Linked DNA regions of Caenorhabditis elegans. The protein of the gene in region 2 purifies or fractionates together with the protein of the main gene of each other region. This does not show direct contact. Each region holds a gene or a part of one and is shown on either strand. Other genes may lie near its edges.

Region 1 (3,496 bases), 3.8 Mb from region 2:
TTCTGAAGTCATTGATATCTCGGCACTGGGACTCCGAAGAGACTCACCGATGCCTGACGATGAGGTGGACAGAGAGGAGAGCAGTGCGGTCGCTGAAGACGGTCGCACAATATCTCCCACCTTTTCGATGTCTGGAAATTTATAAAATGGCTGAGCGGCAAGTCTGATATAATTACACGACATCTAAGATTGCAAATCTCAAAAATTCTAATTAATCTTGAGAAGTAAATTAATTCATCCAAAAAAAAGCAAAAATTCGTTTTTCAGGAAATTTTTTTGAAAATTTAACGTGCATTTTGCAATTTTTAAATCAAAGCTTACTAGATTGAAGCGGCGGTGTACGTGAGTGAGGAATTGTGGACCACGTTGAGGAAGCCGCAGAAGAAGTATGTGCTGAGGCAGACGCTGCTCCCCGCATCGACCGACACGACCATTCAGCGCCAACTATTTTTTCTGAAATTTTCTGCAAATATAACAATTGAATTCGTCGGACCAATTATCAGATTATTCGAAAAACCATAGTCAGAGAATTTTAATCAAAATAGCATAAAAATCAATTTATAACGACTTGATATCTACTTAAGAGAACTTTTGAACGAAGAAGATTTTTCTAACAAATATAGTCTTGGGGAATTATAAATAGTTCGTTTCTCCTTTACTGTAAAAAGTTTTTTGAAATTTAAGCCAAAACTGATAAGTATTTTAGTTTTCTACGGCGCGAAATTTGAATTGCCTGAAGGGAAAAGTGCAAGGAAAATCAATAATGGGGCGGAGTTTTGGTAGAGAAATGCGATAGGGACGTCGAAAAGCTGTTCTTCTTGCACCCAAAAGTCAAAAATGGAATATCTGAAAATCAGAAACTATCCTGATGACGTAGTTTGCGCATGGCAGTTCGGCGGTTCCGAAAGAACGGCGGACACTCACGGTCGTAACGCGACCGCGACGCAGCACCACCGCGTCGCGGTCGATTTGATACTCAACCGATTACTCAATGTCTGCAATCATTCAGGCTTTTTTAAAAGCAGATATCAACATAACAGACTAATAAAAGAAAGATGTAGCTATGAAATATGGAACTTTTGAAATTGTAAATTACATTACAGATTCGACTTCAAAAATCGATAACGGAATTCTTCACTTTTAGATGATGCTTTAATGCAGTGTATTAAGTTATCAAATTTTTATAAAGCATCAGACAGTAGAACTGACGTGAAAGTGCTCTTTGCTGAAAATGGCTGAAAATCGAGCCAATTTGCGTAAATTGGTCAATTATTAAAATATCGCACACGTGAAACGAGTGATACCGTACCCGAACTGGCGTCTCGGATAGACTTCTGTGTCTGCACTCTCTTTTCTCCTTCGAAACTCATGAAATCCTAAATTTTTTGCCTCTTTTTTCGAGTTTTTAACTGAAAATGGCCGTTTGTTACACCTTTTTTAAAAATTAATTTGTTTAAAATGATAGTGCTTTAAAATTTGTTCAGAAAATAACGAATTAATGTTTTCTGAAGTCATAGTGAATTTATCTTCCATCGCGAATTTGTCGGAGTGGTTTATTTTTTCTTTTGATTGGAACTTTTTGATAAAATAAATAAATAGTTTTTTACAAACTTATTTTTCTAGCTTCTTTATCTGAACACGTTTATTCACAACTTATTTTGTTTTCTTATCAAAATTTTGGACCTGTTAAACTTATATTTTCAGCCATGAAGTACTTGGGAGCTTATCTTCTCGCCACCCTCGGTGGAAATGCCTCCCCATCTGCACAAGATGTCCTTAAGGTCCTCGGTAAGTTTTATATCACGTTTTTCCGATATAAATACTTATATTGCAGAAGCCGGAGGTCTCGACTGCGACATGGAGAACGCCAACTCCGTCGTCGATGCCCTCAAGGGAAAGACTATCTCCGAGGTTATCGCCCAGGGCAAGGTCAAGCTCAGCTCGGTCCCATCAGGCGGATCTGCCCCAGCTGCTGCCGCCCCATCAGGAGGAGCCGCACCAAAAGGCAAGTTTTGTTTCACTAATTATGACCCACATTTAAAAATAATCCATTGCGGAGCACGATTTAAAATTTCGAAGCAGTACAGGTGGCGTGAGTCACTTAAAAATTTAAGCAAGTAAGAGATTTTGAATACTATGTGCTCCGCAGTAGTAATTTTTTATCTGGGTACGCAGAAGATCCCTATTTTTTTTAAATTCAAATGTTTCAGCCGAAGAGAAGAAGAAGGAGGAGCCAAAGGAGGAATCCGACGACGACATGGGCTTCGGTCTCTTCGACTAAATGTGTTGTTAAAGTTGTTATTCGTCATTCAATGAACGATTTAAAAAAATTTGCTCGAAAGTCGCGATGTAGAATTGTTTGAAACTTTGGGGAAAATGCCGTTATATGAATTTATCTAATTTTTGAGTCTCGAACAAACAATCCGGAATTTACATTTAGCAATCAAAGAGTGATCATGTTGAAGCCCAGCCTAAATGCTGCTGCGAAATGGATGATTCGAAATACAATAGTTAGCAATGAAAGTCTAACTCCAGAAATCAATCTTCATCTTATTACAATTGCTAGTCCACTGTGGATGAGCACTCCCGATGCTTGTCCTCTTCCAGATCCCTATTGGGCATTCTATTGGCCTGGCGGCCAAGGCCTATCAAGGTTCATTCTTGATAATAAACCTTTGTTTCAAGGATCAGAAATTGTCGACTTCGGCGCCGGCTGTGGTTCAGCCTCGATATCTGCTTCTATTTGTGGAGCGAAGAAGATTCTAGCAAACGACATTGATAGATGTTTGTTTTTGAGATTGAAGTTAATCAGTGTAGAATGAGCTACTTATTTCAGATGCACTTCTATCCACGAAGCTCAATTTCCATCTGAACAATTTAAGAGATTCAAAGATTCAATACTCTTCGATCAATTTTTTAGATGATAAAAATGAAAGAATGTCCACTCAATTTTTCACTGACTCCAAAAATATCAGAAAATTCATTCTCCTAGGTGACATGTTTTACGATTCTGACTTTGCTGAACTTCTTTTTTCGTGGCTTAAAAAGTAGGAATATCTCAAAATTGGTGCAAAAACATATAATTAAATTCTACAGAATTCAAGATGCACATATGGTCAGAGTACTTGTTGGTGACCCCGATCGTCATCCACTAGCCGAATCCGAATACTTGCAACGGTGAATACTTTGCAATTTCATTTTCAAATAGAAAATGTTTCTCATAACCTCATAAATTCGGTTTACAGATACAAAACGAAGTTCACCAAAAATCAATTGGCCGAGTTTTCACTTCCAGGATACGTCATTAAGGAACATTACGGATTCAATACTGCGAAAGTATTTGAATTAAAATTCCAATAACTGTTAAATTTAAACTGAATTAGTCTTTCAGGAATAAAATTGTTGAACTTTACTAGAAACTATTGTAACTGGCCTCTAACGGAAAGAAAATCATTCCAGGACAATCTAGGAGCTCCAAAGTCTTACAGACAAAGGA
Region 2 (4,736 bases):
CGCTGCTTTCATCGAGACCATACTATACAGAATCATTTCTGCAGTATGTATCTCGTAATTCCCATCAAATTGGTAGAGATGCCAACTGCGATGAAAGGGAGACGGGCAGGTCGCGAGCGTGAAGCAGTCCTCTAATGACTTGATGACCGCACGGAGCCAATGAATTTTGGAGCCGTAGTGGCCTGCTCTTCTGAGCAGTTATAAATGTGTCACAAATTAGAATAATATACTAAATCACAAAACAAAAACTTGGATAATAAACATGAATTGAAGAGTTTCTATATAATTGTTCCGAACTTCGTCATTGGTGCCGCGGGGATTCTCACTATCAGGACAACTGTTTTATTTTCACTGTTTCCACATTCTGTTGCATTTTTTTGCAAAGATTTGTTCATGAACGTTCATTTCTCTCGATTTTATCGGGTGCGGATATAAAAATGTTGACAAATAATTATTAATTAACTGGTTATTTTTGTAAATACAACAAAAAAACATGAGAACCATTCAATTCAAAGAACTTACATTTCCCGACACTTTGATTATTTTCCTATAGAGCTTTTTAAAAGCTTTTAGCGTTAAATATAGCTAGACGAAAAATCTATTAGTAAGCGAGTCTCATATTCATTTTCCCTCTTTGATACGTTATTGGAAATCTCACGTGTTGAATAGTTTCATATTCCCAAATTACTTTTGATTCCAACTATTTAATATTCATCATAAAACTTTCTTTAAAAATTTCATTTCGAAATTCTGCCTTTCGCGCCAACACGAGAGACGCAGACACCGCGACGCGCACGCCGCGAATTGTCAGCATCTCACTGCAACCTGTTACTTCCTATTTTCAGCTTGTTTTTGTGTTTTTCTAAAACGTTTATTTTAAAAATTGATTTCAGAAATTACAGTAGTAAAAGGTTTTTAAAGGCGCTTTCTTTTAATCGCTTACTGGGTCTCGACGCGATGATGACTTCGCAATCTCATTGGCGCCCTTTCGCTCTCTTCTTCTTAACTTTTTCATTCTTACTCGCGACGACTATCCCACCTCTTCCATTTTTTTGTGCTTCAATATGTCCAATGTTGCTTCGAATATAATTTATTTACATTTCAGCCAGTCATGTTCCTCACTCGCAGCGAGTACGATCGTGGAGTCAACACTTTTTCTCCAGAAGGGCGTTTGTTCCAAGTGGAATACGCTATTGAGGCCGTCAAACTCGGATCTACAAGCATTGGAATCAAGACGAGCGAAGGTGTTCTTCTCGCTGCTGAGAAAAGATCGACATCGAAGCTGATGGTCAATGACGCGATCGAGAAAATCAGCAAGGTCGACCAACATATTGGTTAGTTCTGTGAACTGTTTATCATCTTAATTTATAAGAATTGTTTCAGGCGTCACATTCGCAGGTTTGATTGCCGACTCGCGCACTCTGGTCGAACGGGCACAGATCGAGGCTCAAAATTTCTGGTTCACTTATAACCGCAAAATTCGCGTGGAAGACGTCACTCAGTCGGTCGCCAATCTAGCTCTTCAGTTTGGAGACGACGACGTCAAAGCATCAATGTCTCGTCCATTTGGTGTAGCAATGCTGTTCGCTGGTGTAGACCAAGAAGGAGCCAAACTGTTCCATCTCGATCCATCTGGAACTTTCATCGATTGTAAGGCTAAATCGATCGGTGCAGCTAGCGATGGAGCTGAGCAGAATCTCAAGGAGCAATATCATGATGTAATTTCGTCAAATATGGTTATACAGGAAAATGTATTTTATTTCAGGCTCTGACTATCAAGGAAGGACTCAAGATGGCATTGGCCATTCTCAAGCAGGTGATGGAAGAGAAACTGAACTCCGCCAATGTCGAAGTCGTTGTTATCAAACCAACAGTTGACGCGAAGGGGCGTCCAATCGGAGAATTCACAAGAGTGTCGAACGAAGAGCTCGATCAAGTTATCACATCGCTTTGAAGAAATTATTCTTTCCTGGTTTTTTGTCTCTTGTTTCTTATGGTGTAAAGTAACTTTATTTGCGATGTTCAGCTATTTCAATAAATTATTTGTCGTTCTTTTATACATTTTTGAAAGCGCCACACATTCAATACGTCCGCACCCTTATAAATGATCATATCTAATATTCCCAACCAGGAGTTACAGTATTCAAAAAAATTTATATTAGAACCGAGCTCGGCGACGAGCGAAATCATTCTAAAAAGAAAACTGATTAAATGTAGAAGTATATACACCGATTTTCTGATTTTGACATCACCGGACTCGAATATTTTAATTGGTGTTGAAATTAATCAATAATTTCTCTGTTTTTTATTTAGAAATATCATGATTTGGAGGTTTTCCCTCCACTTTCAACAAAATTAATGATAATTCTGGTGTCGATTTACGAGAAAAGTTAAAGGCGCATGGCTGCTGCCGCCTTGAGGGTCTCGTGACGAAACACATTTTCTGTTGTTGAGAGGCGAAACATTCAGTGTTCCTAAAATTTTTTCACTGTTTTTCCTTTTCCTTGTTGAAAATGTGATCGATTTTTTCAAAATTTGATTAATTTATATTCAAAAATGTGAATCCGTTCAATTCTGTTGCACTAAAACCACCGATTTTCAAAATTGTACATTTTCAGACCTCAGTTTTAATATAATTTATTTTTTCAGTCTTTAAAACGTAACCGCACGCGATCCTTAATTCACCAAGATGGTTAGGGAAGACAGATCTACTTGGAAGGCTAACTACTTCACCAAGCTTGTCGAGCTTTTCGAGGAATACCCAAAATGCCTTCTCGTCGGCGTTGACAACGTTGGATCCAAGCAAATGCAAGAGATTCGTCAAGCCATGAGAGGTTACTATTTTTAATATTCTCAATTCCTTTAAATCGTAATTTTCAGGACATGCTGAGATCCTTATGGGAAAGAACACCATGATCCGTAAGGCTCTTCGTGGACACCTCGGAAAGAATCCATCCCTTGAGAAGTTGTTGCCACACATCGTCGAGAACGTCGGATTCGTTTTCACCAAGGAAGATCTCGGAGAAATCCGCTCCAAGCTTTTGGAAAACCGTAAAGGAGCCCCAGCCAAGGCTGGTGCCATCGCTCCATGCGACGTCAAGCTTCCACCACAGAACACTGGAATGGGACCAGAAAAGACCTCTTTCTTCCAGGCTCTTCAGATCCCAACCAAGATCGCCAGAGGTACCATCGAAATCTTGAACGACGTTAGTTTTCATTTTTAATAGTATATTGTAATGTTTTCATTTTAGGTCCATCTCATCAAGGAAGGAGATAAGGTCGGAGCTTCCGAATCTGCTCTTCTCAACATGTTGGGAGTTACTCCGTTCTCATATGGATTGGTCGTTCGCCAAGTTTACGATGATGGAACCCTCTACACTCCAGAAGTTTTGGACATGACCACCGAGGAGCTCCGCAAGCGTTTCCTTTCTGGAGTTCGCAATGTCGCTTCCGTCTCGTTGGCCGTCAACTACCCAACTCTCGCTTCCGTCGCCCACTCTTTGGCCAACGGACTTCAAAACATGTTGGGAGTTGCTGCCGTCACCGATGTCTCCTTCAAGGAGGCCGAGACCATCAAGGCCTTCATTGCCGACCCAAGCAAGTTCGCTGCTGCTGCTCCAGCTGCCGCCGCTGCCCCAGCTGCTGCTGCTCCAGCCGCCAAGAAGGAAGAGCCAAAGGAGGAATCCGACGACGACATGGGATTCGGTCTCTTCGACTAAATCCACAAGTTGTTCTGAATTTGTTGTTAATGAAATGTTATCTCCAAAAAAAGCGTTTTTAATTACTTTTCTTTGTGGTGTTATCGAACACTTAACTATATCTCTATTTTTTTGTTTCTTGTTTGAATTTTTAATCTCGTAATTTCAGTTACTGGCCCCATCCTTCAAAAATGCTGATCTACAAGGATATTTTCACCGGTAAGATTTCTTTTTCTGAAGAAGTTTTCCACACTCCTTAAGCTAGTTTGACTGTGATTGTGCATTTTAGATCGCTTCATGAGTTCGCTGCGTTTTGCTGTGAATTCATTGTTGCCCTAATTTGTATAGTCATGGGTGTCAAATTGGCGAGTTACGTGTGGTAAATGGATGACGATCAAATTTTGTTCTGTGAACTTTGCCGTAGATGTGATGCTGTTTGTTTATAGATTGATAATGATTGTCGAACAATTTCAGATGATGAGCTCTCGTCCGACTCCTTCCCAATGAAGTTGGTTGATGATCTTGTTTACGAATTCAAGGGAAAGCACGTTGTCCGCAAGGAAGGAGAGATCGTTTTGGCTGGATCCAACCCATCTGCTGAGGAAGGAGCCGAGGATGATGGATCTGACGAGCACGTCGAGCGTGGTATCGATATTGTCCTTAACCACAAGCTCGTTGAGATGAACTGCTACGAGGATGCCAGTATGTTCAAGGCATACATCAAGAAATTCATGAAGAACGTCATCGACCACATGGAGAAGAACAACCGTGATAAGGCTGATGTCGATGCCTTCAAGAAGAAGATTCAAGGATGGGTTGTCAGCCTTCTCGCCAAGGATCGCTTCAAGAACCTCGCCTTCTTCATTGGAGAGAGAGCCGCTGAGGGAGCTGAGAACGGTCAAGTCGCCATCATCGAGTACAGAGATGTTGATGGAACCGAAGTTCCAACCCTTATGCTTGTCAAGGAAGCCATCATCGAGGAGAAGTGCTAAACTTCACTGTTAAATCATTTAATGTTTTCAATGAACTATATATACT

The links. Proteins that work in one complex are often made in the same cells at the same time.
Region 1: the proteins of rplp-0 (region 2) and rplp-2.1 purify together in Caenorhabditis elegans (affinity purification with mass spectrometry; 2 studies listed by BioGRID, with this or other methods). This does not show direct contact.

What each region holds. Positions count from the first base shown.
Region 1 is NC_003279.8:6,787,947-6,791,442, reverse strand, and holds rplp-2.1 (Large ribosomal subunit protein P2), read left to right. Parts: upstream 1-1,704; 5' UTR 1,705-1,706; coding exon 1,707-1,788; intron 1,789-1,834; coding exon 1,835-2,005; intron 2,006-2,210; coding exon 2,211-2,281; 3' UTR 2,282-2,404; downstream 2,405-3,496. Other genes in the region: pqn-20 (Prion-like-(Q/N-rich)-domain-bearing protein), read right to left, coding at 1-2, 48-131, 322-418; etfm-1 (Electron transfer flavoprotein beta subunit lysine methyltransferase homolog), read left to right, coding at 2,457-2,784, 2,837-3,047, 3,097-3,177, 3,246-3,360.
Region 2 is NC_003279.8:10,565,245-10,569,980, forward strand, and holds rplp-0 (Large ribosomal subunit protein uL10), read left to right. Parts: upstream 1-2,649; 5' UTR 2,650-2,689; coding exon 2,690-2,834; intron 2,835-2,880; coding exon 2,881-3,206; intron 3,207-3,251; coding exon 3,252-3,719; 3' UTR 3,720-3,773; downstream 3,774-4,736. Other genes in the region: pas-5 (Proteasome subunit alpha type-5), read left to right, coding at 1,112-1,334, 1,384-1,718, 1,766-1,954; tct-1 (Translationally-controlled tumor protein homolog), read left to right, coding at 3,890-3,917, 4,173-4,690.